3 linked regions of the Ovis aries genome follow. The protein of the gene in region 2 interacts with the protein of the main gene of each other region in a biochemical or structural test. Links are inferred from orthologs where the notes say so. Each region holds a gene or a part of one and is shown on either strand. Other genes may lie near its edges.

Region 1 (10,003 bases), on a different chromosome or scaffold from region 2:
ATCATCAATTCAAGGTGCTGTGAGCACAAGCTTGCAGGTTTCATGGGAGCTGGTGGTTTCTCACACCACTCATCCTTCACACTTGGTTAAGTCTAATTTTACATAAGGAGAGTTTGCAGAGGGCTTTTGTCTTTGAAAAGCTCCCCCTATCTGGTCTTGGAGCACATTTCCAGCCCTAGCATAGGAATCTGCAGCCCCAATGCTGAAATTCCAAGTAGAGACAAAGGGAATTCAGGAGCGGCCGCTCATCACTCACAGAGTCCTTCTTTCTCTCCTGTATTCAGAAGTCTGATTCATTCCATTAGCTGTTTCTTCCATTTCAAAACAGTGATTCAAGCTTTCAAGACATTCCTTAGACTACGGTGTCATCCCCCACCCGCACCTCCTTGGAACCTATACATCAACATGAGGCCAAAAGAATGTATCTTGTAATAATATGAAATTTCAAGATGTTGCATACTCAAACAGAAAAACAAACAAACAAAAAACCCAAAACAAAAACACCTCTAGAAAGGGGAGCAGGGAACAAAGCAAACCAAATCTAAGTGTTGTCAAGCTGGGGCCACAGAGCATCATGAACACGCAGTGAAATCAAAGGCATTTCCTTTCTGTCCCTCTCAGGGCTGACAGAGCAGCAACAAAGAGTTAAAATCACCTTGGTGGATAAGCTTTCAGGCAGAGGGAAACTTTGTGTTAACACTGTATTAATTCAGATAGCACCTACATTTGGAAAGCAAAGCCAGGTCCCGGAAGCGCTTGCAGCTCAAGTCTGATACCTACACAGTACTTTTAAGTCACTCCATCCGGCTTAAGTGTTTTAACATTATCTGGTGTGCAGTAAACTTTAAAAATTTAAACCAACATTCTCCCCGTCGGAAACTGCAAGAGTGGCTTTGATCAGGCCCACACCGTCCTTTAAAAAGGCAAATCCAGCCCCCTCAAATTTGCTTATCCTGTGCTTGACTCTGGCTAATAGCACCAAGAGTGGAGAGGATATGTTTCGAATATAACCCAGCACTTTTTTTGCTCTATTTCCCAGGGGCCGGACATGTGTGATTAAATAGGTTCAAAGACCTAGGAGAGGGTGAATTCAAATGTTTGCTAACATATTCACTCTGGGCTGAGAAAGAAGGTACCAAAAATGAAGTATAGAGATAACAAGCAGGTAACAGTCATAGAAACCTCATTTTCCCCCAACACATAAAGCTAATTCCACTTTGAGGTAAGGTCTAAATTGAAGGGAGGAAAGAAAACACAGACATGGGCTAGCTATTTTTACCCCTTTCTTTGCTTTTTTCTCATTTATCAATTCATCCAAGTCTAAACTGGGACAGATCTCAAGGAAAGCACAATTCGAATCACTCATTTAACAAAGGGGAAGTCTGAAGTGCAGAGAGGTCCAGACTCCACAGCTGAAGGCTAGAACCAGACACACATGGTCGCTCTCTTTCTGCCTCCAGTTCCTTATCTTGCTCCAATGATGCCAAGCCAATTACCACTTGGAAGTATCCCCACTGTCACTGGCAATTTTTGAGGCTCTCCTATGCAAATATAGTCAATTCTGGACTAACACCCAATTTAGCATGCTGTTAATTGATGCTTCTGCCTAGAAGGTTCTTTAAACTTGCTTTAGAGTTGAGTAATGCATTTATATTGCAAATGAAATAACCCCTTTCAGAGCATTTGTTTATTCAGGATTACTGAGATGACAGCAAGGCTGCAAAAACCAGTTTGGTTTGGAACAGTTACCCTATTTGCTCCCCAGAGGACAGTCCTGCACCCCTGACGGTGTCTCAGTACAGGTAAACATTATGTTACTAAGAACTGTACCACCTGTAACAGGCGGGAGGAGATGAAGAAGAAATGAAAGAAACAGAAAGATTACATGTAAAAGGGAGGTCAATTTTACTGGTGTTTCTAAACAAGCTGTAAGAGATGAGGAAAGAGAAGACAAATGAAGAGTGCAAACCCCCTCTTTGCTGGATGGTCCCCTTGAAAGGTATGAAACATACTAAACACAGAACCAAACCTTTCCAAGTAATGAGTGCATTATCACAAGCAGCTCCTCCAAAGCAGATTCTTAAACTTCATCCTCTTATTATTAGTAATGAGCCCTCTAGTCACCAAAACAAATCAACCCATTCTACGTGCCCTGTGCTACGCTTACACATGCTTAAGTGACTTCGGGGCCAATCCCGAGAGTGCTTTACAAGCAAGCAAGGCAGCCATTAGCTCCCTGAACCCTGAACTGCGAAGGCCTATTAATTATTTGAACCAAGAGTATGATATACTCTTAAGTACACAAGACAACCATTATGTACTCAGATATATGACACAGAAACACAACTCTTGTTCACCCTGACAATGGGGTCAGCCTGAATGATTAACTCTGAAAAGCTGCAGGGAGGGCGGTTTGGATGGCTCATACAATGCAGGTGCAACTATTTCCAAGGACAGACCCAGATTTCATGAAAGTTAGTAAATGCCCTAAAGGGGGCAGTCTGGGGATGGGGGGGGGGCGGTGGGGGGACATTTTAAATAAGCTAATAAATAATTTTGGACAGAATACACTGGAAATAATTTCAGCATTCAATTTTTGAAACCCTACTTCATTCCAAAAAGGGTTTGAGGAAGCTCAGTTTAAATATCAACAATTATCTCCTGGGGTGATACCAGTGTGAAGGGTACTAAATGCCCATTTGGCATGAGCTAAAGTGCTTATGCTTTACAGCCAGACTGCCTGGGCTGAACTCTTGACCAACCTTTCCGCCTGCTGAGCCCTATGACCTCAGGCAACTTACTTAACCCCTCTGTACATCAGGTGTTCTCATCTATAAGGTGCTCCTGTAATAATATCCCACAGGGTTGTTGTGGGGACCAAATGCAAAGATCCATGTGAAACATAGAGCCCAACAGCCAGCAAAGGGGGAAGGCTCAGAAGACATCAGCTGGCATTATTAACATAGGTCAGGGTTCCCAACCAGGTCATAATTAGAACCACTGAAGAACTTTCTAAAAATGCTAATGCCTAGGACCCATCCAGACCCAACAAACCCAGCCTCTGGGGTGTGCAGATTTTGGAAAGCTGCTTGGGAGATTCTGAGGCTCAGTAGAGGCTGAGAACCACTTGCTGATGATCTGGGGGGGGGGGGGGCGGTGGCGCGTGTTGCAGCTGTGGTCAACACAAGTGTTTAAGCTTTGGGGTGCAAGTGCTTTTATTGGTATAGATTGTGTGGTACCTCTATAGGATGGGCTATATGGAGCCTGTCTTATTCCACGTACGAGCTGAAACAGCTCTCTCAACTATACAGATACTTACAGCTAAGCTGACTTACCTCACGCTCACCCTCTCCAGGATGCAAGGCATTTAAGAAGGCAGATGTTTCCAGGTGCTGACAAACGCAGTAGGGATCAGTGAGTACGGGACTGTGGTGATGCTGTTCCACGCATCCAATGTTGGGTCGTAGCAGTCCAGAGTTTTGCATCGCTGAATGCCAAAGTACCCTCCAACCACGTAGAGTTTGTTTCCGGAGGCCACGGCGTGGCAGCTCATGCGCTTTGCCGTCACGTCTCCCACCTTGGTCCACTGGTAAGTTTCGCTGTTGAATTTATATGCAGAGCAGGCGGAGAACTCAGTATCTCCCCCCATAATAAAAATCTGGTTGCCCAGCACAGCTGCCGCCGTGTAACGCCAGGGCTGCGGACAGGTGGCTGGGACCGTCCACCTGTTTTCACACTGATCGTAACACTGAACTTTGGGGAGCTTGTCATGACTGACACTGGTACCCCCAAAAGCAAACAGCTTGAGCTTGGCACTCACCACTGCGGCGTTGCTGACCCCTTCTCGGAGGGGAGCCACCATGGTCCATTTGTTGGTTGTGGGGTCGTAATGTTCCACTTGCTTCAGAGAGACTGAGGGGGAGGCTGGGAGGCAGCCAGTGGCGGCAGTGTGCCCGCCGACCACATACAGGCAGTGCTTGAGTTCAGCAGAGCCGTGGCCAAACCTGGCCACCAGCATGGGGGCCGCCTTGGACCACTCCTCATGCAGGGTATCATACACCCAGACGTCTTTCGAGACTCCATTCTCAGACCCTCGCCCCCCAGTAATGTATACTTTGCAGCCAATTGCACACGCACTGAATTCTTTCCTCGGGCTTGGGATGTCAGCCTTGGGAATGATCTCTTTGGCCTTCTGGTCGACCAGGTACAGTTTGTCACACATGAAAGTCTGTCCTCCCAAGAGGAAGAGGGCATGGCCGGTTTTCCGGGGCCGGGCACAGAGGCTGGTCACCACACCGTCGTTCTGCAGGATTTTCAGTTTGCACCTGATGGCCTCTTCCACGATCTCCTTGCTCTTCCTCTGCTTGGTGATGAGTTCTTCCATGGCCACATTCTCCATGAGATAGATGGCCGGCAGCAGCGCCAGCCGCACCGTCTGCAACAGCTCTGGGAGGTAGCAGTAGCGCTTCTTCAGGTCGTAGCTGATCCAGTTAATTGCAGACTCGTACACAAGCCTTTCGTCTTCGGTCTCCAGCTCTTCACTGGACAAGAGCTGCACGACCATGTCCTGGGGCAGCTGCAGGAAATCTTCGTTCTTCCTGATGGTCTGAAAGTTGCTGAGACACATCCGCCAGGAGAGCTCGTACAGCTTGGTGCACTGGTGCGCGTCGGACAGCAGCAGCATGCCCAGGCAGTTGGTGGGGTGCAGGTTCTTTTCCAGGAACTCGGCACACGCATCCCGGATGTCTTGAAACTCCAGCATGTCGCCGGCTTCCAGGAGCGATTCTGCATTTTCTTCATTGATGATGACCCGGGAGGAGTAGGCATAGTCGAGGAGCAGCTCCAAGACTTCCGGGTGGATGGAATTGTCGAAGTTGACTTCACTGTCCTGGCTCTCTTTCAGGCCCCCGCTGAACATGGCTTCGAAGTAGCGGCTGCACGCAGCCAGCACTGCCCGGTGACAAGGGAAGGTCCTGTTGCCCGCATGGAGAAGGACATCAGTGAAGAGGCGCTGCTGGCGCAACAGGTTCAGGTGAGTGAGGACACTGTCTGCGTAGGAGGACTTGTGGAACAGGTAGATGTTGATGGAGCCACTGCTGGCCCTGGACTTGCGGTTCTCGTGCACACTGACAGACATTGTTTCCACTCCTGCAAAAAACCAGACACAACTACTGAACAGAGATGCTCGCAGTGTGCGGAACAGCCGAGCCAGAGCCCCAGTCAAAACCAGAAGACAAAAGACACGAGGGAACAGAACACTGCGCTGTGGGCCCCGCTGCCTACTAATCTGAATAATGGCTGGCCAGGCCCATCCAAAGCCAGAGACAGTTACTGATAAAGAAAGGCACTTACACTACTGTTGAGCTATGTAACCTATACGTTGTTTAAAAAAAAAAAAGTCACTGCTCAAGAGCAGGTTCATCTTGGAAAACCTGATTGCCAACTTTCAGGATGTTGAAGGTCCTTGAGAATGTAAGTCAGCAAAAGCCAAGAGGATCAAGCTCTCATTCTCACAGGTCCCTGCCCTGGTCCAGCTGATTCAGGGTTGGTCACTTGCAGTGCCAGGCCTCCAGCTCTCGTAACGCCGGGATGGGCACAAGTTTTAATGCCCTATGCAACATAAAGCCATGTGTAAGACAAATACCTACTAATTAATTCCATTAAGAATTCCTTTGGTAATACCCACTGTCTTTACCACAGTGTAGGTACAGTAAATGGGAAATGTAACACTAAAGCCACAGGTGTAAGCCAGCTTCTGAAGTGACCAAACATTTACTTAACATTACAAATCATTTCTAACCAGACACCTCTACCACTTCAGTCCTAAAAGAGCCCCAATATAAACATGACCATATACTGATCAGCAAGCTATCCTGGAAACACAGAATAGACTCTGGCCCCAATTACCACCCACCTTTTCTGCTCTGGCCAGCTTCCAAAATGGGGATTTGTGCCCAGAAAAGAAAGACTAGTTTGAGTAGCAAACTCAGGAGTTCCAATGTTCTATTCTCCCTGCTTTAAGTTACTTCTTAGAAAACCAGCTTCAAGAACAAAGCGTGTATCCACTGCTCTCTCTCGATTACACAGGGATCACCAGGGCCATCCCTGGGTACTTGCAAATGCTGGCACCTGCATATAGGGAGATCAGAATGCAGATGTTATCTAAATCAAAACACACATACACACGTGTGTGTGTGTGCGTGTATGTGTGTTGCCAGCCATTGTTAACTTACGGTCACTCTAGAATTTATTTGCCGACTACAGTGCTTTCCTCAGTATCTAAATGGGAATTATAGCAGAACCAAATCGACTCTTTGGCTTTCCTCAGTAATCAAAGTGTAAGCTAAAGATACAGGACATGCCTATCACCTATGTTCAAAAATTGAATTATCTTCTTCCTTTTTAACCCTACTCTTCTGTTAAGTCAAAGGAATAAAGGCTTCAGGAACCCGCCTGTCAGAGGATTCGTAGGGAAGCTGTTTATTCCAGGACGGTGAACTGCATTGATACAGTATCTGTTCCAAACAGGGAACAGCTAGTCCTTACCAGCCTTGTTTCCTTCAACCTGACCAGCGGAGGCAAGGCAGGCACAGAGAACAACAGAGGCAGGTGCCTTTGACTCACTGGTCTCATATATTAGGAGTTGCAACTTGTTTTCTTTTATTTTAGGCATGTAACTTTTCATCATGAGTAACCATGATTTACTGGAGAAGAAAATAAACAACAGAGTCCTAGGGCTCTGGTGTTAAGACTTTAGGAAGCACCCATCAGTCTCCACAGTGACCTGAGCTGTGACAAATGGTGAAGAGGCCAGCATCACCCCCACGTCAAGCTAAGCCTCTAAGGTCTAGTCCATGTCACCCAAGGCCCAATGCTCCGACAGGACCCTGTGTAAATGCACCAGGTTCTCCAATGTGTTCAAAACCTGAATTAGCATCCCTGCTGTTCAACTGCTGCAGTCACATGAGCATGAGCACATTCAGTCTTCAGTACTTTGAAGAAGAGTTTTAGCCTAAACCTCAAAAAATGGTATAAATACTCTTATGCCTTATATAGAAACTTGCAAGAATTCCAAATGAGTAGCTATGCTTTCTAATGTTTTTTTTTAACGAATGCTTCCAAAGCAATCTCAAAACCTGCCTCCCTTGGATGGACCTAGAGATTATCACACAAAGTCGGTCAGATAAAGACAAACGTCATATGATATTGCGCAAATGGAAAACCTTTTTTAAAAAAGATAGAAATGAACTTATTTACAAAACAGAAATAGACACACACATAGAAAACAAACTTATGGTTACCAAGGGGGAAAGGAGGAATAAATTAGGAGTTTGGGATTAAAATACACACACTACTATATATACAGTAGACAGCCAACAAGGACCTACTGTATAGTATAGGACCTACCGTACAGCATATATACTCAGTGTCCTGCAATAGCCTATAATGGAAAAGAATTCATAAACCTGTGTGTATTCTGAATACTTTGCTGTATACCTGAAACTAACAACATTGTAAATCAACTGTATTTCAATTAAAAAAAAAAAAAAAGCTGCCTTCTTTCTGGCTGAGACTGAATGCAGCTGACAGAAGAATGAGGTTCTTGCACAAGGTACAGAAGCACCAAAGTGCCTGCAGATTGAACTGGAATCACACCCACCAGGCCCAGAAGGCATTTCCCTGAGCAGTGTAAAACAACACTCATAGCCAGGCTTATACTTAACATAACAGTTTAGAAGACTGGGATATAGGATCTGCATCTCTTTACAGCCTGTGTTTATGCTCCTGGATTTCCCAAGTAGGTTCAAAAGCCAGCAGAAGAGCCTAGCCTGTCATCTTGGATGCCACCCAGATGGAGAAGTGTGTCACAGTCAAAATCCAACAATCTTGCAGGAATATTTGATTAAAAGGTACACTTGAAGACCCAAGGGAGACAACTTGTCTTTTGGTTTAAAAGTATGCAAACATGAAAACATCAGCAGAAACCATGTACACAGACTCTAAACACACCTTCAACACAGAATGAATCATCCTTTTGGCATTTTTTAAGCCCCCAGAGAAATAATATTTGCATGCCAAGTAAGTGGCCAAAAAACGCACACATATACTTAACCTGCCTCTACAGAGAAGGCGAAAAGGGCTGCTATTACCAGTGAACATCAAAAGGAATTCTGGCTACAGTAACTTCAGTTCACTTAATGCTCTTTAACCAGGATCTCAGCCTCCAATACTTAGCAGCGCGTCACATTTCTTTAAGTTTTGAACCTGATCTCCAGGCCATCGAAGGAGAAACTGGGCAGATTTTCTCAGGCAATTTACATTATTGATAACAAAGGAACAACACTATAAAGAGACTGTTAACAAGAAAAGCATTTTACCATAGAGTCCTCTATAGCACTTGTAACGCTCTTCAACACATGCCCGTGTGGGCGACACCAGATACACGCCAAGTTCAGCGGTTCATCTCCACCCCGCCTACCAATTCCTATCCTTCGAAACTAACCATGTTAAGGCTAAACAACCTGAATGACAAAAAAAATAATTTTTTAGAAAGCAGTTTTCATTCATTCCCCACAGACATCTGGCCGCAGTGAACATGCCCTTACTAGGGGTGTCTGTGCGTGACTCCAGTGCCGCGTAGGGTGCAAGGGGACAAACAATCCCGCGCGCTAGGCACAGCCCTTCCCGCGGAGGGGAGTGGGGCGGCGGGGCGCGGGGGGGTGTCGATCGTATCCTGGCTGAGCTCCTCTCTCCCCAGCGGCTCAGAGGAGGCCCCTCGGGCAGTGCCCGGCTCTGCCTGCCAGAGGAGCGCAGCGGCGGGCCGGGGTCTCCGCCCGAGAGCAGTTCCCCGCCGCCCCCTAAGTCGGAGCTCCAGGCTCCGCGGTGCGCGCGCACGCACACACACAGGCAGACCTGACACCCACGGCGCCCGCAACAGGTCCGCGGCGGTGGCGGAGACTTACAGCAGTGGCGGCCGGCCACAGTGCACAACCAGTTAGTTGGGTCTGGCCTCGGTAACCCGGCGGGGAGGCGACGGAGCAGACGTCTCAGCCCCAGGGAGCAACAGCGACTGCCCCGGCGAAAGGAGCGCGCATGGGGCTCCGGCTCGCTGGCTGGTCACCGCGGGCTGATCGCCGCGGTCTCACGACTCCCAGGTCACGGACTCTGTGCCTGCCACCCGCGGAGCAGCTCCCGGAGGGCGCTCGGGAGGGAAGAGGGAGCCAGCGGCCGCAGGCGCCGCGGAAGGAGGCGGGCTGAACGCTCGGGGGAGGGAGCTGGAAAGAGCCGTGCGCGCCGGCGGCCGCCTGGCGTCTCCACTCGGTCTCTGCAGCGCCTCGGCCGCGCCGCCTCCTCTCCGGCTGCCCGAGCAGTCTGCGCCCGGCGGCCCAGCGCCCGGCTATAAGCGGCGAGACGGGGAGGGGAGGGCGGGGAGGGGAGGGGAGAGGGCGCGTAGGCAAAAAGTGACACCAGGTGAGGGAGGGAGGAAGCGCGTGAAAGCGGCCGGCGGAGGAGGAGGAGGAGGAAGGGGAGGAGAGCGTGTCGGGGGAGTTAATCGAGAGAGGAAGCGGGGGAGGGGGCTGTGGCAAGTAGAGAGAGAGAGACAAAGAGGATGCGGAATCTCAGCCACGAGCAGCTGCAGCCTTCGGGAATCGCGAGTAAAACAAGTCTTCCTGGGTCGCTGTGTCTTGAGCAGAGTCCGGTGCTGAGGGACCCTTCTGGGGTGGTTGGGGACAGCGCGGCCCCCCAGGTGTGTGCTCCGCGTTGCGGGAGCCGCCGTGAGGCTCAGCAAAGAGAGACAAGAGGCGAGACGGGTGTTAGTGGTTCGCGCCCTGGGCGCACACAGCCTGCCCGCTGGGCGAGATACCTGGAAAGAGGACAGGGGCGAGGTATGGACACAATTTTGGACACTGTAGGCACTCCGCAGGTTGGGCAAAGCCGGGCTGTAGGGCTCCGTTGTAGGGCAGGGGACCGGAAAGACTCGCGCCCCGGGCGCTTCCTGCCC
Region 2 (10,803 bases):
ACATAAATGCTCTTCTACTCCTGGCTCTGCCAAAAGCTAGTTCTGTGCTCACTGGTAACCACTTCATCCCTTCAATTTCTTCAAATGTAAAAGTAGAGACCTGGACTAGATCATGGAGGGAAAACACATGACATATATTGATATACCTATCTGTCTGTGCCCGTGGCAGACATTGTTAGTCAATCACTGAAATTTTTCTTCCCAAATTAGGAAGCTGCTTCTGAATTCCTCTCAGCAAAACATCTTAGGCAGTCACTACTCATCAGTTAGAGTTAGCAACCAAAGTAAAACATACTTGTCATCTTTGAGACAGAGTATCTCTAAGGGTTCTTTTAATTTCAATATTACTCAAAGGTCAAAATGAGAGTCTGCACCAGAAAGAAGTATGTTGGCAAATCTTACTTCCCTTTTTCACATTCCAGCCTCTGAGTGTTAAAGACTTTGCAAGGCCTGTCCATGAGGATACTCTGCTCTTACATTATTGCATTTTGCCTTTTATTTGTCCAAACAGGTTAGTGGATCTCCCCCAAATTCTGAAAACACATACTGTAAATCTTTGAACAATCCAGAAAAGTACAAAGATGAAAGTGAGAAGTACCTGACATTCAGAGTCCATTATTAATACTTGGTAACCAGTCTTGCAGTCACAGCTCTAGGTGTGTTTTTCTGTACTCTAATTTCCCCATGCAGCAACGTTATGTATGAACAGCTTTGCCATCACTTGATCCTGCACTTCTCTATGTACTCTTAACATGCATCTTTATCCGGGGGCTCCTATTCTGCAGAGCGAAACTCTGAAAATATAGCAGCAGATTGAAAGAGCAACAGATCTTGAGACCCTTACTACATCTACACCTAAAAATGTGGTCAAATTCTCCAGGCTCCTCTCTAGTAAACACAGAATGGAAATATTTGTAAATCTTGTGGTTAAAATTCAATTTGAAAATGAAATGGACCCAGCGTCTTGGGAGAAAAGCAAGGGTTCCTCCTTTACCTCTGTACCCCAATGCCACTTTTTTTTCTGCTTATTACTATAAAAGTAATATATGTTTTTTTAGGAAAATGCAGGCAGGCAAAAATGAGAAAAAATAAAAAGCATTTGTAACCTAATCAGAGTAATTGTGGATAACATTTTAGAATGTGTATGTTTGTCTTTTTTCCTATGCATATATTTTTGTGTAGGTATCAACATACATAATTCAAAAGCACTCTTTTAAACTTCCAGGTTTTTCTCTTCACACACTGCATTGCAGTTCCTGTAGGGCACTCATTCTATTATGAGCAGGAAACTACAAGAGTTAAAACCGGCTTTGGTAATATACAACTCTTTGTATCAGTAGCTTGCACAGTGAGGTGTGCTCACCAAGGAACCAATGTTATGGGTGTGTTTCTAAACTAATACACCTATTATTCTGAACACTACTGTATTGAAGTTAAGTTTATCCACTGGGCATGATGCTACTGAAGTTCAAATTCCCTCAGCAGATACCCAGCAAGGATGTTACATAACTGGGATAAATGAGGTCATGTTAGGGCCAAAATCTCTGTATGCATATATACCTCAATCTACTTAACTGATGGAATATCTGTGTTCCTTAAGTGTATTTGCATAAAGAGAATATCTCACCATCATCTGTCTAATGGTGTGATACTGATACATACTGTGATGAGGTGATTTACTTTGCATGTAGCAGTGAAGAGGGTATAACATAGGGAAAATGCCTTCTTCATTTACAGGGTGGTCAATTGCTCCTGAGGGTTTGAGACTCTTATTAAACTGCAAAGTACCATCCCTATATGTGACGCCAATAATTGTTAACAAACAGAAAGCAGCCAGGAGAAAACTTGTCTTTGATATTCAATATATGCTGTTTGGTTATCTATTGCTATGAAACAGACCACCCCAAAATGTAGTGGCTAAAAACAATTTATTACAATCTCTCACAATTCTTTGGGCTGACTGGGCTCACCCAGGCAGTCTTCTGCTGGTCTTGCTTGGAGTCTCTCATATATGGTTGCAGTCACATAGCAGCTGGGGCTGAGGTCTCCTGGGGTTCAACTGGGCGGCTAGAAGAGCTGGTCTGGCTTCTTCACTCACATGTCTGGTGCCTTGGTTCACATAGCTGCTCTTTCCACTTGAAGTCCCATCCCCAGGGCTTTTCCCCACAGCTTCTCTTCCCACAAAGATAGTCAGACTTCTTATATGATGGCTGACTTCTAAGACTGTGAAATTAAAAGCTGTCAGGCCCTTTTAAAGCTTAGCGGAGACTTGGCATAGTGTCACTTCCGGCCTTGTGTAAGTTACAGCAAGTCTCAGGGCCAGCCTTGATGCGATGTAGGGGACTACACAAGCACAGCAACACGCCAGGAGGGGCAGTTCACTCAGTGCCATCTGGGGAATCTGGCTACTGGATCTGCTCCCGCTGGAGGCTGTACAAATTTAGAATTTTAACAATAATGCCAAGGGAGTTTGGATACTTTCTTGGTGAAACATGGAGTACAGTGAAAAGGAATAAGCAGAGGGAAGAAGCCTCACGGTGATGGAGGACTTTGGAAACAGTAGGTACTTTCTTGGTTCTTGCAAATTTGGCAGATTAGATCACGGAGAAGGTGAAATAAAGGGATCATTGCATCACTATTTTCCAAACTTTGCATGCTTGGAAGGTTTACCTGACGATGCTTGTTTTTTACGACAGTTCTGGAACTAAGTATTACAACTTGGTCACGCATCTCAAGCGTACCCGGAGGGTTCTCTTTCTAAGGATGGCAAAGAACTCAGATATAAACAGAAACATACACAGGTTAGTAGCATGTGAAGCCAATTGAGTGGGAAAATAAAATAGCAAGGAGAGCCTGTCAGTAAAATAACTCCCATGGCAACAGGACAGGAGAGAAAACCCAGCATCCTGGAACTTCTCAGTGCACAGTATCTGTGCCTTCATGGCACTGCATTCAAGTTTAGAGGGCAAGGCCTCGTTTCTCACATGGATATGATCTTGGATCAGAGTTCTGCAAAGACCAGCAACCTCCTTGATGTGGGTGGTCTGAGACTGGGGTTTCCTCCTCTTGTGCTGAATCCCCATTTAATGCCAAACAGCTTTTTTTTAGCTGTTTCCTTAATTTTTCTTAAACATGTTCAGACTCTTATTGTATTGTCCTCCTCCCTTTGAAAATATGTACTCTGCAGGTGCCTGAAATAATATACTCCCAGTAATTGCAGTTTTGCAAAAGTAAAGTTTATTTTATTCAGTCTAAACTCAACGGAAATTTGTTGCCCAACAAGGAAATACCAAATTTTATAAGCCGCTGGAGGGCAGCCATCATGTCGTATATGACTTTGTTATTGCCTGCCTCCTGTGCTCTCTGTCTACCTTCTCCATGTACTAATTTTAATAAGTAACTTGAATTGTTAGCAATATACTCTGGTGCCATTCTTTGACACAGAAATGTCATTTCATAATGTCTCTGCATATTCCATGTCAGGTTCACTGTAAATCACTTCTCCTGAGCTTGTTGTTAGTGTGCAGATCATTTTGCAGCCTTCTCACTTAACAGCTGAAAGTTTAATTCAAATTGAAGAAACTTACTTCAATTACAGGCAATTAATTTAGGCTTCACTTACCTTAAGAAATATTCCAACATATAAATCAACAGGTAAGTCCTGGGAGGGTCAAATTACGCAACCAAGAGAAAGTAAGTTCTTTGCAGCTTTGGGGGCGTTGGTCTGCTGTAGTCAGGCTTTTATGGTTTTCTTTTTCTTTTTTTGGCGTCAGGTTTTTGAATGAAATAGTAAAACCAGTGCCAGACACTGTCTACTCCACCTGGTTTTGCATAATTCGAAGAAGTGATAAACTGAAAATCAGGCTTGTTAAAGAGCTAGAAAGAGTGCTGTTGCATAAGAGAAAACAAAACTAAACCATTTCTCTATTCTTTTTTAAATCATAAGATTTCACAATATTCCTGTTTTCAAGTACTTGAAGTTTGCTCTGGGCACTGACTACTTTTTAAATAATTGTTTTTAAGGTGCAGTGAATAATACACATTTATCGTAGATTTAAAACATACTTAAAGTAACAAAGAGATAAAAATCATTCAAGGTCCTGCAACTATTAATATTACTAGTAATATTTTGAAGAACTTTTTTTTTTCTAGGTACATGCTTTCACAGAACGGGTCCATACTACACAGTTTTATAACTTGTTTTTTGCGTTTTTGTTTTTAAAATCGTATCTTGAGTACGTGAAAACTTCTAGAGGTTATGACACGTTTGTAATATCGAACAGGGTTAAAAATCGCCATCTATGGTGTGGCGTGTGCACTCTGGTGGGAAGAGAATGCTCCGGATGGGCAAGCTCGACCACTCTCCGATCCAAAGAGACTTCTCCATTCGCCCTCGGGGACTGAAGCCTGGCCAGAGTGCAAGGCGTGGGAGTAAGTGGAGGGCGATCAGGGTGACCGAGCACGAGCTCCCCGCGCGGTCCACTCTTCCCCCGGGCCAGTCTCACTGGCTGAGCCGGAGCGAGAGGGCAGCTCGCCGTGAGCTGGGCCCAGGTCCCGGCTTCCGGCCCCCACCCCCCGGGCTGGCGCCACTCTCGGGCGGTGGGGAGAGAGAAAGCCGGGCAAGGTTCTGCAAATCCAAAGCAGGGAGGCGCAGCTCCGATACCATCGCCTTTGCCGAGTCTCCAAGCATGTTTGTTTCAACTGTTTAAACTGTTTCAAAGCACCCGAACCCCAGCGACCTTCGGCAAACAACTCAATCCCACGGGCGGGGAGCGATGGCCGTATTCGCTAGAAGGGCAAACTGACAGCGGAGGCAGGCGAGCTTCGGGGGCCTTCCTCCGGCACTCTGCCTGCCCGCAGCCGCCCCTGAGACCCCCGCCCGCAACTCTTTCCCGCCCCAGGACGGCCAGCTTCTTGCGTCAGCCCGGCGAGGGTGGGGGATTTTCGGAAGGTCGGCCCGGGCGGCTGGCTGGGGAAGGAAGGGCCTTGGGCTCTCGCCCCGCCCTCGCGGGGCGGGAGGCGGAGCGGGACAAGAGCCCGATCGGCGACTCCGGCCAAGTCAGGGAGAAGCGAGTTCCTAGGATCCCCCAGGAGCCGCCGCCGCCACCAGTACCGCCGTGTCCGCTCCAAGCCTCGGCAGCCGGAACAGGGCCGCCGTCGGGGAGCCTCAAAGCACCGTCCCCAGCTCAGCATGATGGACTTGGAGCTGCCCCCGCCGGGACTGCCGTCCCAGCAGGTGGTGCCAGGACGGGAGCAGGGGCGCGAGGGAGCCGCGGCCCGGGAGGGACAGCCGCATCGGCCTCTTTCCCCGTCTGTGGCCGGAGCGGACTGCAGCTGCCGCGCACACACCAGAGCCGCCGCGCTTGAGCTGGGGCCGGGGGAGGGGAGTGGCGACCCCAAGGGCTGCGAGGGGTATGGGGGCGCGGGGAATGGTGTGACTGACAACGCGCCCGCAGCCCCCGAGGGCGGTAGGGTTGGGGTTGGGGGGCTACGCCAGCGCGCGTGGGGGCGAAGTGCGTCTCTAACCGCGTCCCCGGTCGCCGGAGCCGAGATGCTGGAGCCGCGGCCGGCCCCCTCTCCGAGTTTGAGCGGCCGGGAGGCAACCGGGTAGGAGAGGGCGGACACTGGCGGTCTGAGCCGGCGCGGCCCGGCCCTTCCGGGGCTGCGCGGCTCCCCCGCCTCGGAGCCGGCAAAAATGTGCCTAGTCACGGGGCCACTCTCGGGGGAACTGAGGTCTCCGGGCTGGGACCCGGAACCCCTCCTCTGCCGCTGCTCCTCTGCTCAAGACCTCCGCGGGCGCGAGCCGCGGCGCTCTTACCCTGCTGAGGGTTCTCTTAGGCAGAGTGATCAATCACTCCAGCCTTGCGATCGCCCTGAGGCCGCTTGGCGAAAATGCCCAGCTCCCAGGGTGGGGGCAGGAGGAGGTCACCAAGCGCCCAGCGCACTCGGTTTCCCCGACGTACGGCGATCGAACCCTGCCCTGCGCGCCGCCTCGCCCCGAGGGAAGGGTTCGGGCTCTTAGAACTCTGAGTCGGCCCCTAGCAATACGCCGGCAAGGGCGGGTGGGGCGGTGGACTCTGAAGTCCGACGGGCCTTCGCCCCCCACCCCACCCCAGCTCCCCGGGGCTTCTCGATCCCGGCGCTGTGCTTCCCGGTGGCGCACGCCGCGAGCGTCGTCCCGGCGCCGTGACAGTGGCCGGTTGGCTGTCACGGCGGCCCTCAGTGGGCCCTTTCCTGCTTTGTAGCGTGCAAACCTTGCCGCGCCGGGGCCAAGGGACAAGTTGGAGCTGTTGATCTGTTGCGCAATTGTTATTTTCCCTAGGGCGGCTTTGTCTTTGGATTTAGCGTTTCGGAATTGCAATTCCAAAATGTGTAAGGCAGGATATTCTGTTCTCTGCTGTCAAGGGTAAGAATTTCGAGTGTAGATTAGCATTTCTGTTGTTTTTAGGCTGTTACTAAATGTTGCGCTTTCATACATTGTTTCTCTTTTGGGTGCTTTATGTAGTTTTCCTTTTCTGTTTGAGAATTTGCCTCAATTGCTTTCCTAGTATGTTGCTTTTGAGAGGGCAGAGGGTGGGACAGCTGTGTCTCATAAAACTTCGCTAACAAGTTCTGTAAATGTCGCAAATGTGGGAACAAGTTTCTGTGTATATTTTGTAGGGACTTTTTAAAGGAGTAGATAGTTTTATTTCCAATTTGTGCGTGTGAATGCGTTTTTTGGAAAAATATTTAGTTCAAGGAAATGTGTAACCTAATAGGAACGGTAAATATATTTAAGCTCTTAAACATCAAGCTTTAGACTAATCCTGAAGTAAGGTTTTGATATATTGACAATGTAGTGATTGTGCCTTTTTTTTCCCTTGGAAGCTGTTGTCTTGAACTTTCCCCCAGTAGTGATTAAGACTGTGTTCCTTCCTCCCCACGATATGAAGAAATAAATTGTGCTTTCCGATTCAGCTGCTGTTCAGTCCCTATAGCCATTTCTTTAATAATCTATATGACCAAAGGATATATGATGCTAATGGACTCTAGTTTTCCCAGATTCAGGAATGTAGCCTAGAGGGGTATATTACTGAAGTTTTTATTTCTTTCTTAACTATATAATTTACCATTCCATATACAAAAGTGGGTAAACATCTTTACTGCTTTTTCTTTTAAATGTGAACTTTCCAATTATGTTTGTTAAGGTAACTCCCTTTCCACCCTTTGTAATCAGACCTCAGTTTGCATATGCGAAGAGTATAAAAGAAAATGGAATAAAATTTAGAGTTAATGTCATGCCTGTAACTAAGATTCATATTAAATCTTTGTAGTCCAGGAAGATTTGGACAGAGTCATAAGTGGATTCTAACCTCTTGTCAAAGAAACACCAGGCAGGAGGTGGTACGGGGGTAAAAGTTCTTCCCCCTTTGTGCAAAGGAGGTGTTGATGAAGAGCAGTAGAGTTTTACATTCTGAATTTCCATTAGCTTCTGGAAGGAATCATCTACCCTTTTCAAAGCTGTCTTGGAGAAAGTATTTTTGCATATGAGGAATGAAGTTGATCTTGGACTAGGTAGGTAACTTCCAAAGAAAAATAAGGCCTCCCTCTCATCTCCAGAAGGTTGAGCAAAGAACAACTTGACTTTTTAGATATTTGGAAAAAAACCTCTTGAGAGATTGTGAAAGATTGTAGTAGGATAAAAACGTAACTCACATCAGTCTGCATTAAAAGTAGCATGGGCCATTTTGGACTCTTTCTTGTCAACTTGGGTTTTTATAAACAGTGCTGGGAGGGGAAACCCCAAAATCTGACTTTCTTTAGGATAATCAGGAAGAATTGAAAGCTAAATACACGAATTTTACTTACAGAGCTACATGAGAAAAAGAAACCTCTGTGGGCTAGAAGCACTTTTTTTTTCCCCGGGGAATTTCCTCTCTACTGGCGGAACACATTTAAAGGGGGGTTTGCGTAAATATTTCTTCTTTGATTTTTCCTTCATCTGGGGTTCACTCGTCAGTGCATATTCTTGGATTCAGGAGTTTGGCACTCAGATAATCGTAGATGAGTTATTGGACACTTACTTGTGTGCCAGGCGGTACGATAATTGCTTCACATGTATAATTTCACAGTCACCGTGTAGAAAATACTGTCTCCAGTTTCTAGGTGAGGAAAGAGGCATAAAGCAGCCAGGGTCCTGGGTCCTGGTTAAAGTGACTCAACTATTGAGTGGCAGAGGTGGGATTCAAACCCTGGTAGAAGGACCCCACTTCCGAAGTAGACCAAGACTAGTTAACTTTAAACAGAAGGAAACTCTTACGCTTGTAAAAATGGACAAATCGAGAAAAACTACAAGAAGCACAGGTAGGAATTTAAAAGATTAATCTTTGCACCTTTTCCAGTTACCAAGAAATTTAATAAGTGTGTTTGTGAGGGGTGAGGTCGACCTTGAATACAGTGAAAGTAAATACAACCTGAAACTTTTCAGAAAGACTAAGAGGCCTAGCGGGGTTTGATTTAGAGAGGCAAGACCATTTCTTAATTTAATAATAGTTTTTAAAATTTCTGATATTTCAGCAGTATCTGAGATTCTGCCTTACATTTTTCAGGGACTGTTTTTCAAATCTCTTAGCTCCTGGTGACTTTAATTTTATTTGCCTTGTTAGTTGGTACATACTCCTGTTCCATTGGTTCTTTTTATCTGGAAATAGTGGTCAAAAATAAGTTTCGTAGTGAAGATGTTTGGTAGTGAATATGCTGAAGAGTGGGACAGACAGGGTTAAACCTGGTTGAAGGAAAGTGGAGAGAATGGGGAGAATTTGACTTGAAAACAACTAGTGGAAACCTGTTGGTTCAAATTAAACACTCATCTCCTGTTTCGGCATTTCTGAACTGAAGCAGGCATAAGGGCTCAAATCTGTCTAATTGAAGCCTTCTTGGGGTTTTGTGACTAGTACATTTCAAAGTTTAATACTTTATTTCTTAGTCCTTATCTTTAAACTGGAGAAAGAAATGGCAACCCACTCCAGTATTCTTGTCTGGAGAATCCCATGGACAAAGGAGCCTGGTGGGCTACAGTCCACTGGGTTGCAAAGAGTTGGACACGACTGAGCGACTTCACTTTATCTTTAAACAGGTTGTTCTCGGAATTATTATTGTCTTGTTTGTCTGAGTTAAGGATGCTTCAGGCTTTTCCAGATTCAGTGGATAATTTGCCTAAAAATTAATCTGACAACTCCCAGCATATTTAAAAGCCTGGCCCAGCCACTTCTGAAAGTTTGCTGGAATCTGCTGTTGCACAGCAGGGTTGTTCGTTCTTTAGTTGCTAAGTTGTGTCCGACTTTGTGACCGCATGAACTGTAGCCCGGCAGGGTCCTCTCTCCATGGCATTTCCCAGGCAAGAATACTGAACTGGGCTGCCGTTTCCTTCTCCAGGGGATCTTCTTGATTGAGGGATCGAACCCCTGTCTCCTGCATTGGCAGGCACATTCTTTACCACTGAGCCACCAGGGAAGCCCACCCAGCAGGGTATAGAAGGATGAATGTACTAAAGGCAATATTCAGCCGGCTTCCCTCACCAGTGGCTGCATGTTTAAGTGTACTGTAGAATGGAGAACAGAGTTTATATTCTGATAATAACGATTTCTATGAGTTTTAAAATGTAGTTACCAGCTGCTTTTCAATATGCTCTAACAGACATTTATTAAAGGGGCTCTAAGATACAGACCAAGGCTTCTTTCATTGATAATGGTATGTTTTCTGGAAATGAGTGCAAAAAATACGTTCAAGTGTATAACATTCCCAAAAAGTATTAGCAAAATACAAGTGTTCTTATACTAACTTTCCCCGCCAAGACAAAGCAAGATGGCTAAACAAAATCTTATCTTGCCTGAAGTTGGAGTTTTCTCTGGGTCAGCCCCTGCCACAGTAAACACTTTTTAACTATTATTATGAAGAATTTTAGGAACATTGAGGATTGGAAGCACGGTTTTAAAAATTGGAGTGTAATTGCTTTACAGTATTGTGCTAGCTTCTGCTGTACCGCAGTGCGAATCAGCTATAAGTAGACATATGTGCCCTCCCTCCGGGACCTCCCTCCCATCTCACCCCTGGGTCGTCACAGATCACCAAGCTGAGCTTCCTGGCATATGTCCTGCAACACCTTCAAAGCCTCATAAAATCTTTCTCTGTGCGTGAGCATGTAAGTTTATTTGGCCCAAACTGTGGTAGAAGTGAAGACGAAGCCAGGACATAAGAGATACTTAGAGCACCAAATCCATCCTTCAAAGACCTTGCTGGTAATTGAAAGTCACTATCATTCAGCAGCAGCCTGTATCTTGCTTTTGCTGTTGTTATTGTTGTTCGGGTGTTTTTGGATCTCTGGATGGCTTGTGGGGATCGTCCCTGACCCAGAGAGTGAACCCAGGCCAGCAGCGAAAGCCCTGAATCCTAACCACTCGGGCCACCGGGGAATTCCCAACAGCCTGTATCCTGAAGGATTAAAAAAAATGCCCTGGCAGTGCTAAGTTAGTCATGCTTTTTCTCACAAACTTCGATGATTGAGACTCCCAGCCCTGTGACATCGACAGCGTACTGGTGAGATCCAGCCTCTCCGTTGCTTTTCTTCAAATCAGAGAAGAATGATTGGGTAATAAAAGAAAACTGTCGGATGATTTTGGCTTTGAAGCCTTCTTCCAAACTTAAGAGTTTATTTTCTGCATTAGGCAGTTCTCCTCAATCACTTTTTAAAATCTCCGATACCTGTCTTATATATGCAGCTGTTCTTTCCCTCTACAATTTGATTGTAAGTTCCTTGAGAGCTGG
Region 3 (10,769 bases), on a different chromosome or scaffold from region 2:
ACACTGATGCATAGCTGTTATTCTTTAATAACAATAACAAACTGTGAAGGTTCACAGTTCCAGACAAAACAAGTGTCCAATTGATACTTGAATAATTGGTTGTGTACATACAGTAATAAAAAAAAGTCCTCAAGTTTGCTGTCAAATATTAAAAGGACGAGTAGAACACTTCACAATCTATAGGAAGAGATGGAGAGAAATAATAATCCTTAATAATGGCTAATTTGGAGAATCACATTTTAATATTACCTGGAAACATCAAATTTACTGTGGACAATCAGTACTTTTCAATAAAAACTAGTGCTCCAACTGAACATTAAACAAAAAATATACATATACACTACTTATTTTTCTTTTTGTGCTGCCATAAGCCTTAACATTTTCAATTCAACCTTTGTCTTAACAAGTTTTCCCTGAAATCTTAAAAGAATTGAGAGGTTTTTTCCCCAATATAAGTATTGAAGTACTATATTTGCTAACAGGCATGCCTGAAACTAATTTCAACAGCATTACTAATCATGTAAGTCTTACACAATCACTGCTAAATTATCAATGAAAGACTATCCTAAAAGCAAAGGTAGCTTATCTCTGGAATCCAAGTGTTAACATAACAGCAATCCATTCTCTATAAAATATACAATAAAGGAAAATCTAGAATCAGAATGCTTATATTTGAATTCCATTATAACAGAAAAATTTTCCGGCCAGGTAATCTTGGACAAGTTGCTTCCCCTCCCTAAATCTCATTTACCTATCTATAAAGTGAGAATAAAGGTACTAGCTACTTTTTGAGTTGTAATGATTAAAGTGAGCAGCTGCATTTGGTAGAGTGCTTATTAGCACATAATAAACATTCAATAGGCATATCACATGTCAATCATGTATTATTCATGGCCCCTTTTAATTAAAGCAACCTAGTTATTTTTGGCTTCCTGAGACAACGAATTCAACATGATACAATTAATGGTAATGAAAAATGAAGTACTACTGTTAATGCTTTGCACCAATGTTACTAATATTTTTGCCTGCCTTCCTACCTACCATCTCTTTGGCTTTAGGGCATACTTATTCAATACTAGGCCTGTAAATTCATTTAAATTATATCACCATCTAAAACGTAAGTTTCTGTGGGAGCTCCCTGGTGGCCCTAGTAGTAAGAATTCTGGGCTGTTACTGTCGTGGCCCAGGTTCAATCCCTGGTCCAGGAACTGAGATCCGGCAAGCTACACAGAGCAGCCAAAAAAAAAAAAAAAAAAGGTTTAATTTAAAAATAAAATACAAATTTCTAGGAAAATAATATGTCCTTCGTCAGGAATGTTTACTTTTCATTATTAAACTGATCTGAAAGTACAATCAAGAAATTAACAACTCCAGACTATGTTAATAAGGGAAATGTTAAAGGTTCATATTTGTGCCATTGTTGGTCATGGTATCCTGAAGTCATGGAAAAGGAAAAGTTGGTTTGACAAAATTAGTTTCAAAATAACCAAAACATCACTGTCTTAATACAACCAAATTAAAATGCTTCTAAGGAAAGTATTTAATCCAAAAATATAAGATACAACCATTTATGGAATTTCAACTTGCATTTCAACTTTGAAACTAGACCTTTCTCCCCAAAACATAAGCACAAGTGAGAAAAGCGACTGTAAATTAAGAATCCAAATCTACAAAGTTACGTCCTTGTATCTTAGGCCAGACCAAGTATACTACAGACATAGATATAAACTGAAATAATTTACTGAATGTCCATTGTGTGCTGAATATTAACTCATTAAAAAAAAAACTAGAATAAAAACTGTAATAATAAATAGAAATAAACACCGATTTTTATCAATTTAATGATAAGAAACTTCTGGGGAAACAAATTGTTCTCCTTTATGTCAGGTTTTCCTTGCTTTTCTATTCACATGAGAGTATGTGCTCAGTCCTGTCTGACTCTTTGGGACCCCATGGACTGCAGCCCACCAGGCTCCTCCGTCCATGGACTTCTCCAGGCAAGAGTGCTGGAGTGGGCTGCCGTGCCCTCCTCCAGGGGATCCTGCAGACTCAAGAGATGAACCTGTGTCCCTTGCACTGCAGGCAGATTCTTTACCATCTGAGTCACCAGGGAAGCTCTCTATTCACATAGGTCTTCACATAAATAAACATTTCTATATCACACTCAACCGAAGTCAAAGACAATTATATAACTAAGGATGATTTGTACAACCCAAGATAGAAGCAAAGATTGCAACCTCTACTTTAAAATCAATGAACCATGAAAACATTTCTATCCTCACAATCATGCAAGATTTCCCTCCTCTCCACACCACTCCCTTCAACTGCCGCCCCTCAAAATAGGCTACAAAAATGATGCTAAACATACCAATAAACTTATTTACTCATGGTGATTATGTTCTTAGTAGAACAATATCTGGGAAATCAGGTTGGTCCTGTTAGTACCAGATATAATCCCATCACACCCACATGCTCTGCCCCTCCATTCTCCTCTTGCAGGGTGGAGCATCACAAGAGACTCCACAGTCCCACAGCCTGCCCACTATCCCATGAGTGTTAAGCATGGAACTGTGGTACAGCCTTCTCTATACATAAAGAAAAAACACACACAAAAGCAGACCTCCCCTGATCTCAGAATCTGCTGCTGACACTTAAGCTGGCTTCCCCAGCCTGCCTGTCTCTCCAAAACAGTGTCTCACACTGGCAACCCAAGTCCACAACACGGGGCAGACAGCACAGGGTACAAGTATGTGATGATTTCCAGCTGAAGCACGCAAATGAAATGAGAAGATGTCACCTCGTTTTCTAAACGCAATTCCCAATCAGTCGTGAATTGATTTATGAATCTCTGGGTTCCCTTGTGCCTTTAAGTCATTTCACAATTAGCACTCTAGGGGTACATTTAACAAGACAGCATGCAATTCTTATATGAGGGTCTAGTTTTTTAACAACTCTGGAAAGGTCTGGTTGGGAAGGGAATGAAATTTTAACGAAGATAAAATTCTGGTTTTCAGTTTCACACATGAGCTCTCTTTCACATTGGAAAATCTAGAAACTAGTGAAATTCTAATAACCTGATTTTTATATGACACAAAGAGATTAAACTCTCTCAGGAATAGAGTAACTCTAAGTTGCCACCTACTCTTTGGCTTTAGCCACCATGCAACTAAATACTGCACAGCAATATGCAACTACTATTATTCTCTTCACTAAAGAAATTTGATATAAAAAATCCTGTATGAGGAAATAACTTCTCATGACTTAGCTAGGCAACTAGCTAAATTTTCACTAACAGTTTATCAAAAGACTTATTACTAATATTTTAATAAAAAATCACCATAGCACCTTACTGCCTCCATTTTGAGTAAAATATCATGTGACTCTACAGAAGAACTGTCTAGCTATTAACATTTATCTAATAACACTTGAATATGAATGCAGACCAAAAAAAAAAATAGTTACACAACATTGAGGTTTAAAAAAAAAAAATCAAATATACTCTTCTAAACCGGATGAACACTTAGCGCAACCAAAACACAAAAAGTAAATAAATGAATAAATCAACTTTTAATTTCTGCTGAAGTCTGCATATTAACATTATTTTAAACAGCAAGGTTTACCTAAAATAACCATTATTTATGAAACTAGTTTTAAGAATGTACCAAAGATTGAAGGCTGTATAAAATACCTAAAATGCTTATGTTACAGCTTAGTCCAAAAAATATTTTCATTGTTTTCAAATAAATTACCATCGGGTTATTATAACTAGGTTTCAAGTATGAGATCTTTTGAATTTACATTAAAAATTATTTTCTTTTTGAGAAATGGAAAGAATATAAATAAAAACTTTCAGTTTACTACTCCTGAAAATAAATCCAGCATTTTTAGACATAGAAAAATTAGAGACAGTGCAATAAACAGACTGTTAAGTTAAATACGATAGCCAGTAACCAACTGCTGTCTGCTGAATTTCAAGAAAATCTAAATATTAAATTTTTAAAAAGTGAACTCATCTATCCTCCCATCTCAGCACTTTCTCAACTTTCCCATTACAATCAACAATATAACTTGGCGGTCAAATCTTCCAGACCAGTAACATCAGAATTTATTTTTAACTCCTGACTCCTTCCCAAATACTCCCCCCTTCAATCCAATCCAAAGTCCTACCAGTTCATTCACGCTGTCTCTCAAATGTGTTCTTTTCATCCGATTTTCAATTTTGCTTTATATTGCCTCACTATTCACAACATACTCTACTACTCCCTAAAAGGGCTCTGACGTCTGGTTTCTAATTCATCAACTTTGCTGCCCAAACCATCTTCAAATATTTTGTTCATCAACCTATAGTAAATTCCAAACTCTCTTGAATCTCAACCATAATCATAAGCCCCCTCTGCTTTCCATCAGTTAACATATTTCTCAAATTCCATCTCTTCTTATTTTCCTATTTAGGCCCCTTTTATTCAGATTTACTAACCTGCTTTATAAATACAAAAATACAAAAGTCACCATCTCTGTGCCTCTGTCCATTCTGTCCACCTAGAATCCTTTATGCTTCTCAATATAAGTTACTGCCTCCTTTAACACCTGCCTTAAAACATACCTCTGTAAGAAGTCTTCTCTCCAAGCCATCTACCTCATGCCTTTATTTTTTGTTCCTCTGAACAAAGTATTCTATTTGCATTTATAATCTTGCAGTCATCATATTACTGTTTTCACGTTTTGTCCCATAATCTGCCTCAAAAACTGATAAGCTTTTCAAGGCAAGGACTATAATTTCTTATCGCTTAAACAGGGGTCCCTTAGAACACCAGCATTCCAACAAAGGCTTTCTTCCAAAATGTATTTAAAGTTACGGTTGTCAAAAACACATAGTCAACACTGAACTCCAATCTTTTAAATGTTAAGCTGACCTATATGGTAACAGAAAAGTCAACATTTTCACCTGCACTTTGCAAGAGTTACTCCATCTTCAGTCAACATCCACAAAGGATTCATAGAAAATCCTGTGAACTAAATGAAAAGTCCCCAAATTTAATATTATTAGGTATCCCATTCTGCTCTCTGAATAAACTAATTACCTAAAATTGATTTCAAGTGGTCTTTAAACCAAGATGAAAAACATCCTAACACTCCAGTACCACAAGAGGCTCTTAAGGAGCTATTATAAGATTTGCTTCATCATAGCTGAAAATTACCCCAGAATTTTAAAATATTCCTCTCAAATGACCCCATGAAGTGCTTAGAAAGCTTGACCATTCCCTGAAAGATGCATCATCAGCTTCCCTCTTCACATACTCTGCATTCTGAACTAGCTAGTCACCAAAAAAAAAATTTAACTCTCAAAAATAATCTCCCATTCAGCTATTACCTTAGACTACCCTGTTTCAGACAAGTTCCAAAAGCCACCATGAACTGAAATCCTGAGTTCAAGTAAGAGTGTTCATTTTATAATCAATTTCACATAACAGCATATACCTTTTTAAAAAAAATCTCAATTCAATTCTCTCCTTCTTCTAAGCAGTAAAAGTTTTTCTTTGCCCTCATTCATGCTCCTTTCTGAAGGAATAAGGAAACTATAATAGATATTTTTGTCGAATTCTTTAAGTATATTTAAATAAACTGACATTAAATATCACATAAACATATCCATAACTAGAGATACGTTAAAACACTGGATACTTAGTATACCAAACACTCAAAATAGACTTTTTGAGCACAAATCTGGGAAGAGAGTATAGACGTCTAGCAACAGCCTTGAACAAAGCCCAAATACCTCTATTAAATCTGGGACCACAACCTTCTGCAAAACCTATGATGATAAAGTCTAAATCCATATTCTTCTAACTTCATAGCCTTATCTGAATTCGAAAGGAAAACAATGCGAGAGTATTGTAAGCAGTCCTAAGAAGGAACATCTGAACTCTAGATCATTTAGCAAGTACTGAAAGCAATGGCACCCCAAAGCTGAACTTTAATGATGAGTCAGTGACAATTAACATTCAACTTACTATTTAGCAACATGACAATATAAGCCCCATTCAAAACTCGGACCTACTTTCAAGTTACCTTTTGATTAAACATTAACTCTATAGTGGTAGATTGGCAATGTCAAAACGGTAAGGTTAAGAGATAACATATTAAACCGCGTATCCAATTTAGAACAATGCATGTTGAGATACTACTGCTACTGAGTATCTATCAGCGGTACCCGTCCCTTCTAAAGAGACAAATCAAAGCTCGCCTTCCAACCGAAATGTGGTTACTTAGCGAGTTCATCTCTGGATTAAGAACAAACACTTTGTATAGTCACACAAGTAAGAAAGAAATGTTAGGAGACGGTGACATTCACCTCTTCCATTAAGTATACAAAACTATGGTAACCCTCGAGACCTGAGCGAACTAAACTATCCCTCATTCCAAAAGACACACTCTGGAAAAGCACATAATGGTTTATGAGTCTTGTCCTTCGCTTTAATCAAAAGGATGAGCAAGTAAACACTTCCATCACTATTTTAAGGTGGAAACACTCAACCACTTAATAAAGCTGACTATCAATTGCTAGAAAACTGTAAGAAAAGAACTAAGTTTCAGACAGAATCATCTAAATAAAAATCCCATTCCCCCGATTCAAGGTTAATGAGACCGGAGAAGGGATATGGGAGGAGGAAAAAAGGAAGCTGCCTCATCCTTGACTGAAGACAGGTTTTTGCCCTTTCCCATTACCTCTGTTTTATCAGCAGGTCTCGTATTTTAAGATCCTGGTATTTCAAAGTCTCTTATTCAAAGGGGAGGTGGAGAAGGGGTGTAAAATAAAATCAATACTCACTGCTAACTTTCATGCTGCCAAAAGCTGAAGGCTGCTGCACTGGCTTGCAGCTCTCCGCAAAGGAGGTGGTTCTGGGCCGCCCTGACATGATCACTCTTTTACCGAATCACCTTTTTTCCTTCCTTCCTCCTTTTCTTCCTTTTGTTTTATGTTGGGGTGTTAGGTTAATGATAAATGCAGCATTAAGTTTTCCCACAGGAAAAAGACTTCGTCCTCTTGCCTTTTCACTCCTTTTGTACAGCTATTTAAAAAAGCGAGCGATGTATTTCTCCTTGAAGACAGATCAGTACGGATATTTAACATATAGACGATCCGGGGCTGGGAAAAAATTACAATTCTTTCCCCTCCTTTTCCTTGGAGGGCAGAAATGGGTGGGAGATCCTAAAAAATATATATCACGTGAAACGGGGACAAATACTGGATTGAAAATAAGTACTCTGAATATTATATTTTCCTCGGGGATTTTTTTTCCGAGTCAATGAAGAAGGGAAGCGGCGGAAGGATCACGAGTCTCACGCTTGAAAAGAAGGGGGGATGGGAAGGAGGGAGGGAGAGGGAGGGGTGGCTCGGAGATGCGTCGGGAAACGCTGCGGCTCCGGCAGCGGCAAGGATCCGGCGGGCTGACGGTGGGGGCCCGGCGAACTGGAAGGCGGCGGAGTCGCGAGTCAGTCAGAGTCGGGCGGTGGCGGCGGCTCTTCCCCTCATTGCGCCAGGAGCAGCTGCAGGCGGCGGCTGGATCCAGCGGCCATGGCGGCGGCGGCGGCGGAGGCAGCTCCCTTCAGACCCCAGGCAGCGGCTCCTCGACTGCTCCCCATACGCCGGGGACATGGGAACCCGGCAACCGCTTCCGTCCCTCGGGGGCCCCCTCCCCCGTCCAAGGCACCAGCGCGGCCGCCCTCCCGCCCCTCGCTTCTGCACAGTCCCGCTCAGGAAGTGTCCGCGCTTTGCCCCCAGTCCGGAGCCCTGTCAGCGGCTGCGGGGTCGGCTCCTCCTCGCTTCCTTCCTTCCTTCCTTTGTCACTCGGCCCGGGCGGCGGCGGCGGCGGCGGCAGCAGCAGCAGCAGCAGCAGCAGCACGAGCCCGCATTCGCCCGGGTCGGGGGCTGCTCTCTGTGAGGAGTGCCGTCTGCGCAGCCGCCTAGCTCTTCCCCACTCCCCCTCCCCCCTCCTACTCGTCCTCCGCCTCCTTCCTCCCCCACCCAGCCTTACACCGCCCAGCGCCCCGCCGCCCGCGTAAGAGGCGTCTGGGAATCGCCGGCCGAGCGGGGCGTCCGCCCCCTTCGACAGGGGAGCCGAAACCCGAGCGGAACCAATCACGGATGTCGTTTGTTTGCGGATCCTCCCGGAAAAAGCCGATCGACCTGAAGAGCCAATCAGAAAGTGTCGCTGGAAATTCACGCCCAAGGACGGAAAATGCCGAAGATAGCCGACCGAGGAAAAGGTGGGTTCGCCTTGTTCTGTGGCTGGCTGGAGGAGAAATTCGGCAGTGACCAATCAGAGTCGCTGGCCCTCAGGAAAAGCTTGAAGAGTTAAGGACAGTGAAGCCCGGAGTCGCTGGCGAAACCGCACGGCTGGGCGCCGTGGCCGCTTTGTAATTGGCCGAAACTCCGCTGGGAGTGCAGCACCCTCGGTGATTGGTGAAGGGAATGGGGCTTCCGAGGACAGTCTGGCCAGTCAGGACGCCTCCTCCCTCGCCGAGGTGGGGAGAAGTAGAGAGCGAAGGGAGGGCGTCTATAAAGCGCTTTTTCATTGGCCTGAAGCTCAGGAGCTGGAATGGGGGCAAAAGGGAAAGGGAGGGAGGCCGAAACTCGTAGCAGTAGCCAATCTGCACTCGCTGCTGTCTAATCGCAAGACCTAGCTGCAGTATGATTGGCCTTCAGCCTCCGGCGGCAGTCCTAGGAGCGGGGAGAAGCGCGACTGGGGTCGTGGCGGACGGTCTGACGGCCTCGCCTGCGGCTACTCGCAGCTGGTGTGGAAACCGCATATAGGGAGCGCGAGGCGGTGCGAAACTGGTGTGGTCGGTGGCGCTGGGTCCCTCGCTCCAACAAACTGATTGAGGGGCTTTCCCCACCCACTGGAGGCTCTCTGTGGGGCGGGGCTAATTCTGCGCGCCCGGGGTTCCCCTCCGCCCGGGAGAGCGCATCCCGAGTACGGGCGTCTTTCCCGAAACGGTCAGACAGATCCAGGGCGCTTCTCAGGCCGAGTGCGAGTTTTCAGACATTAAACTGAGAACAAAGCTTCTAGAGAGGCAGCGCCCCTGGGCGACCGCGCCCCGCCCAGTCGCGGAGGCCATTGATAAGAGTGAGGGCGACTGCGCCTCGTGCGCGCTGCCAAGCCCGGCCTTCCAGAAAGGCCCCTGAGAAATGAGCTCATGCTGGCTGAGCGCCCTTCTGGGGTGCGACCAGTCGGCGCAGAACGGCCCCCGAAAGCAGGTGAGGGGAAGTGCAGTCAGGCCGGATATCCCGAAGCCTCTGAGGCAACGGGGAGCCAGAATAGCCCTTGATAGTTTTTAGTTTTTTGGAACGAGGGTGATCTATAAAAGTACTATTTAAGTAGGTTTCGCACATAGGCCAGTGTTCAGATTCCTGGGGTGTGCCCAAGGACAGTGAGTTACGGTTACAGAAAAAGTAAAATGAACAGTTGCCATCCTAATTGTAATCCCATGGTGCCTGTAATTTCCACCTGCAGAGTCATCCCTTTCTATTCAGATACCATCTGTAGCGAGCACATATAAAAATTACTTGATCAGGTTAACTAGCTATTGCTTTGGAAAACTGATGAGGAACTTAGGACAGAACAGAGTAATCTTTGATGGAGGACAGGAAAGGTCTAGATAGGGTTTGCAAACTCACATGTTTTTAGGGGCCAGAAAAGTAAAGTAAATGAGTGAAACTGGCCTGGTGTAGACAATGGGGAGTGACAAGCAACGTGGCAAATTGGAGTGTCTGTGCTGTAACTGAAAGGAGCAGCTGTTCGGCTCCAGCAGATTGTTGCCCTGAAGAATGTGGATACAGTGGTCTGAGATATTCTGTCCCCTTCCCCCCATCCCCACCAGGAGAAACCCTTATAAAGCACGATTTTTGTATGAAATCTCTCGATTTTTACACCAGTATTTCCAAACTCTGCAGGCCAAACTAAAAACATTCCAGGGTAGATGTGACCAACCTGCAATCAATTTGTAATCTCAAATCTGGACATAGGTTTTTGATAGTCCAGGAGTGGTAGAAGCTCTTGTTCTTTGCAGTGAAGACAGAACATGAGGTCTCTGGATGTCATGGAGAAGGGTAAAGAATGTTGAAAGCAAACTCAGTGCATGGCACCTTTGTCAAATGATTGTTGCCTCTCCCTGCAAACTACCATGTAGACCTTTGCCACTAGTCCCTAAACTGCTGTGAGGTAAAGCTAGAAATCCTGCCTTTACTCCCCATCTCAACTCCCAGTTATACTGGCAGGAAGCTGAATGACAAATGTTTAGGTTATACAAATTGGAAACAGCTATTCTATTTTATATAATAAAGTACAAAAATAGTCTACCTTGAGGTTATGATTAGTAGCTCTACTGTTGCTGCCTTCAATTTTGAACTGACACTTAAAAAAAAATCTGATCGGGGGATAGGGTGGGGAGGTGAGTCTTATAGGAAAACAAAAAGTAGTTCAATTTAGAATTAGGACATAAGGAGGGGAGAAATTTATGAGAAAATACAGTATCACTGAAAGTAACATTCAATGATTCTCTGACCTTTCAAACTTACTCTACCTTCTCACTTGCTGTTAACCACTTATCAGTTTATAGTAATTTTAATATTTATGTGTTTATAATGTGCCAGACACTGTTCTTAAGTGTTTCACACATGCTATCTCAGATTATAATCATACAGTATAAGTACTGTTATCACCTCCACTTAAAGGAAACTAAAGGTCAGAAATATATACTGACTTACC

Evidence for each region.
Region 1: the proteins of NFE2L2 (region 2) and ENC1 form a complex in vitro, tested with the Homo sapiens proteins (2 studies listed by BioGRID). The link is inferred for Ovis aries from reciprocal best matches to the Homo sapiens genes NFE2L2 and ENC1.
Region 3: of the proteins of NFE2L2 (region 2) and GSK3B, one has a biochemical effect on the other in vitro, tested with the Homo sapiens proteins (2 studies listed by BioGRID). The link is inferred for Ovis aries from reciprocal best matches to the Homo sapiens genes NFE2L2 and GSK3B.

Annotation. Positions count from the first base shown.
Region 1 is NC_056069.1:7,080,224-7,090,226, reverse strand, and holds the start of ENC1 (ectoderm-neural cortex protein 1), read right to left. Parts: upstream 9,375-10,003; 5' UTR 8,964-9,374; intron 5,149-8,963; 5' UTR 5,138-5,148; coding exon 3,368-5,137; 3' UTR 3,336-3,367; intron 1-3,335. UniProt on the Homo sapiens protein: Actin-binding protein involved in the regulation of neuronal process formation and in differentiation of neural crest cells.
Region 2 is NC_056055.1:132,848,193-132,858,995, forward strand, and holds the start of NFE2L2 (nuclear factor erythroid 2-related factor 2), read left to right. Parts: upstream 1-5,043; 5' UTR 5,044-5,191; coding exon 5,192-5,236; exon of another isoform or gene 5,237-5,586; intron 5,587-5,721; exon of another isoform or gene 5,722-5,959; intron 5,960-6,376; exon of another isoform or gene 6,377-6,406; intron 6,407-10,803.
Region 3 is NC_056054.1:185,708,664-185,719,432, forward strand, and holds the start of GSK3B (glycogen synthase kinase-3 beta), read right to left. Parts: upstream 6,918-10,769; coding exon 6,830-6,917; intron 1-6,829. UniProt on the Homo sapiens protein: Constitutively active protein kinase that acts as a negative regulator in the hormonal control of glucose homeostasis, Wnt signaling and regulation of transcription factors and microtubules, by phosphorylating and inactivating glycogen synthase (GYS1 or GYS2), EIF2B, CTNNB1/beta-catenin, APC, AXIN1, DPYSL2/CRMP2, JUN, NFATC1/NFATC, MAPT/TAU and MACF1.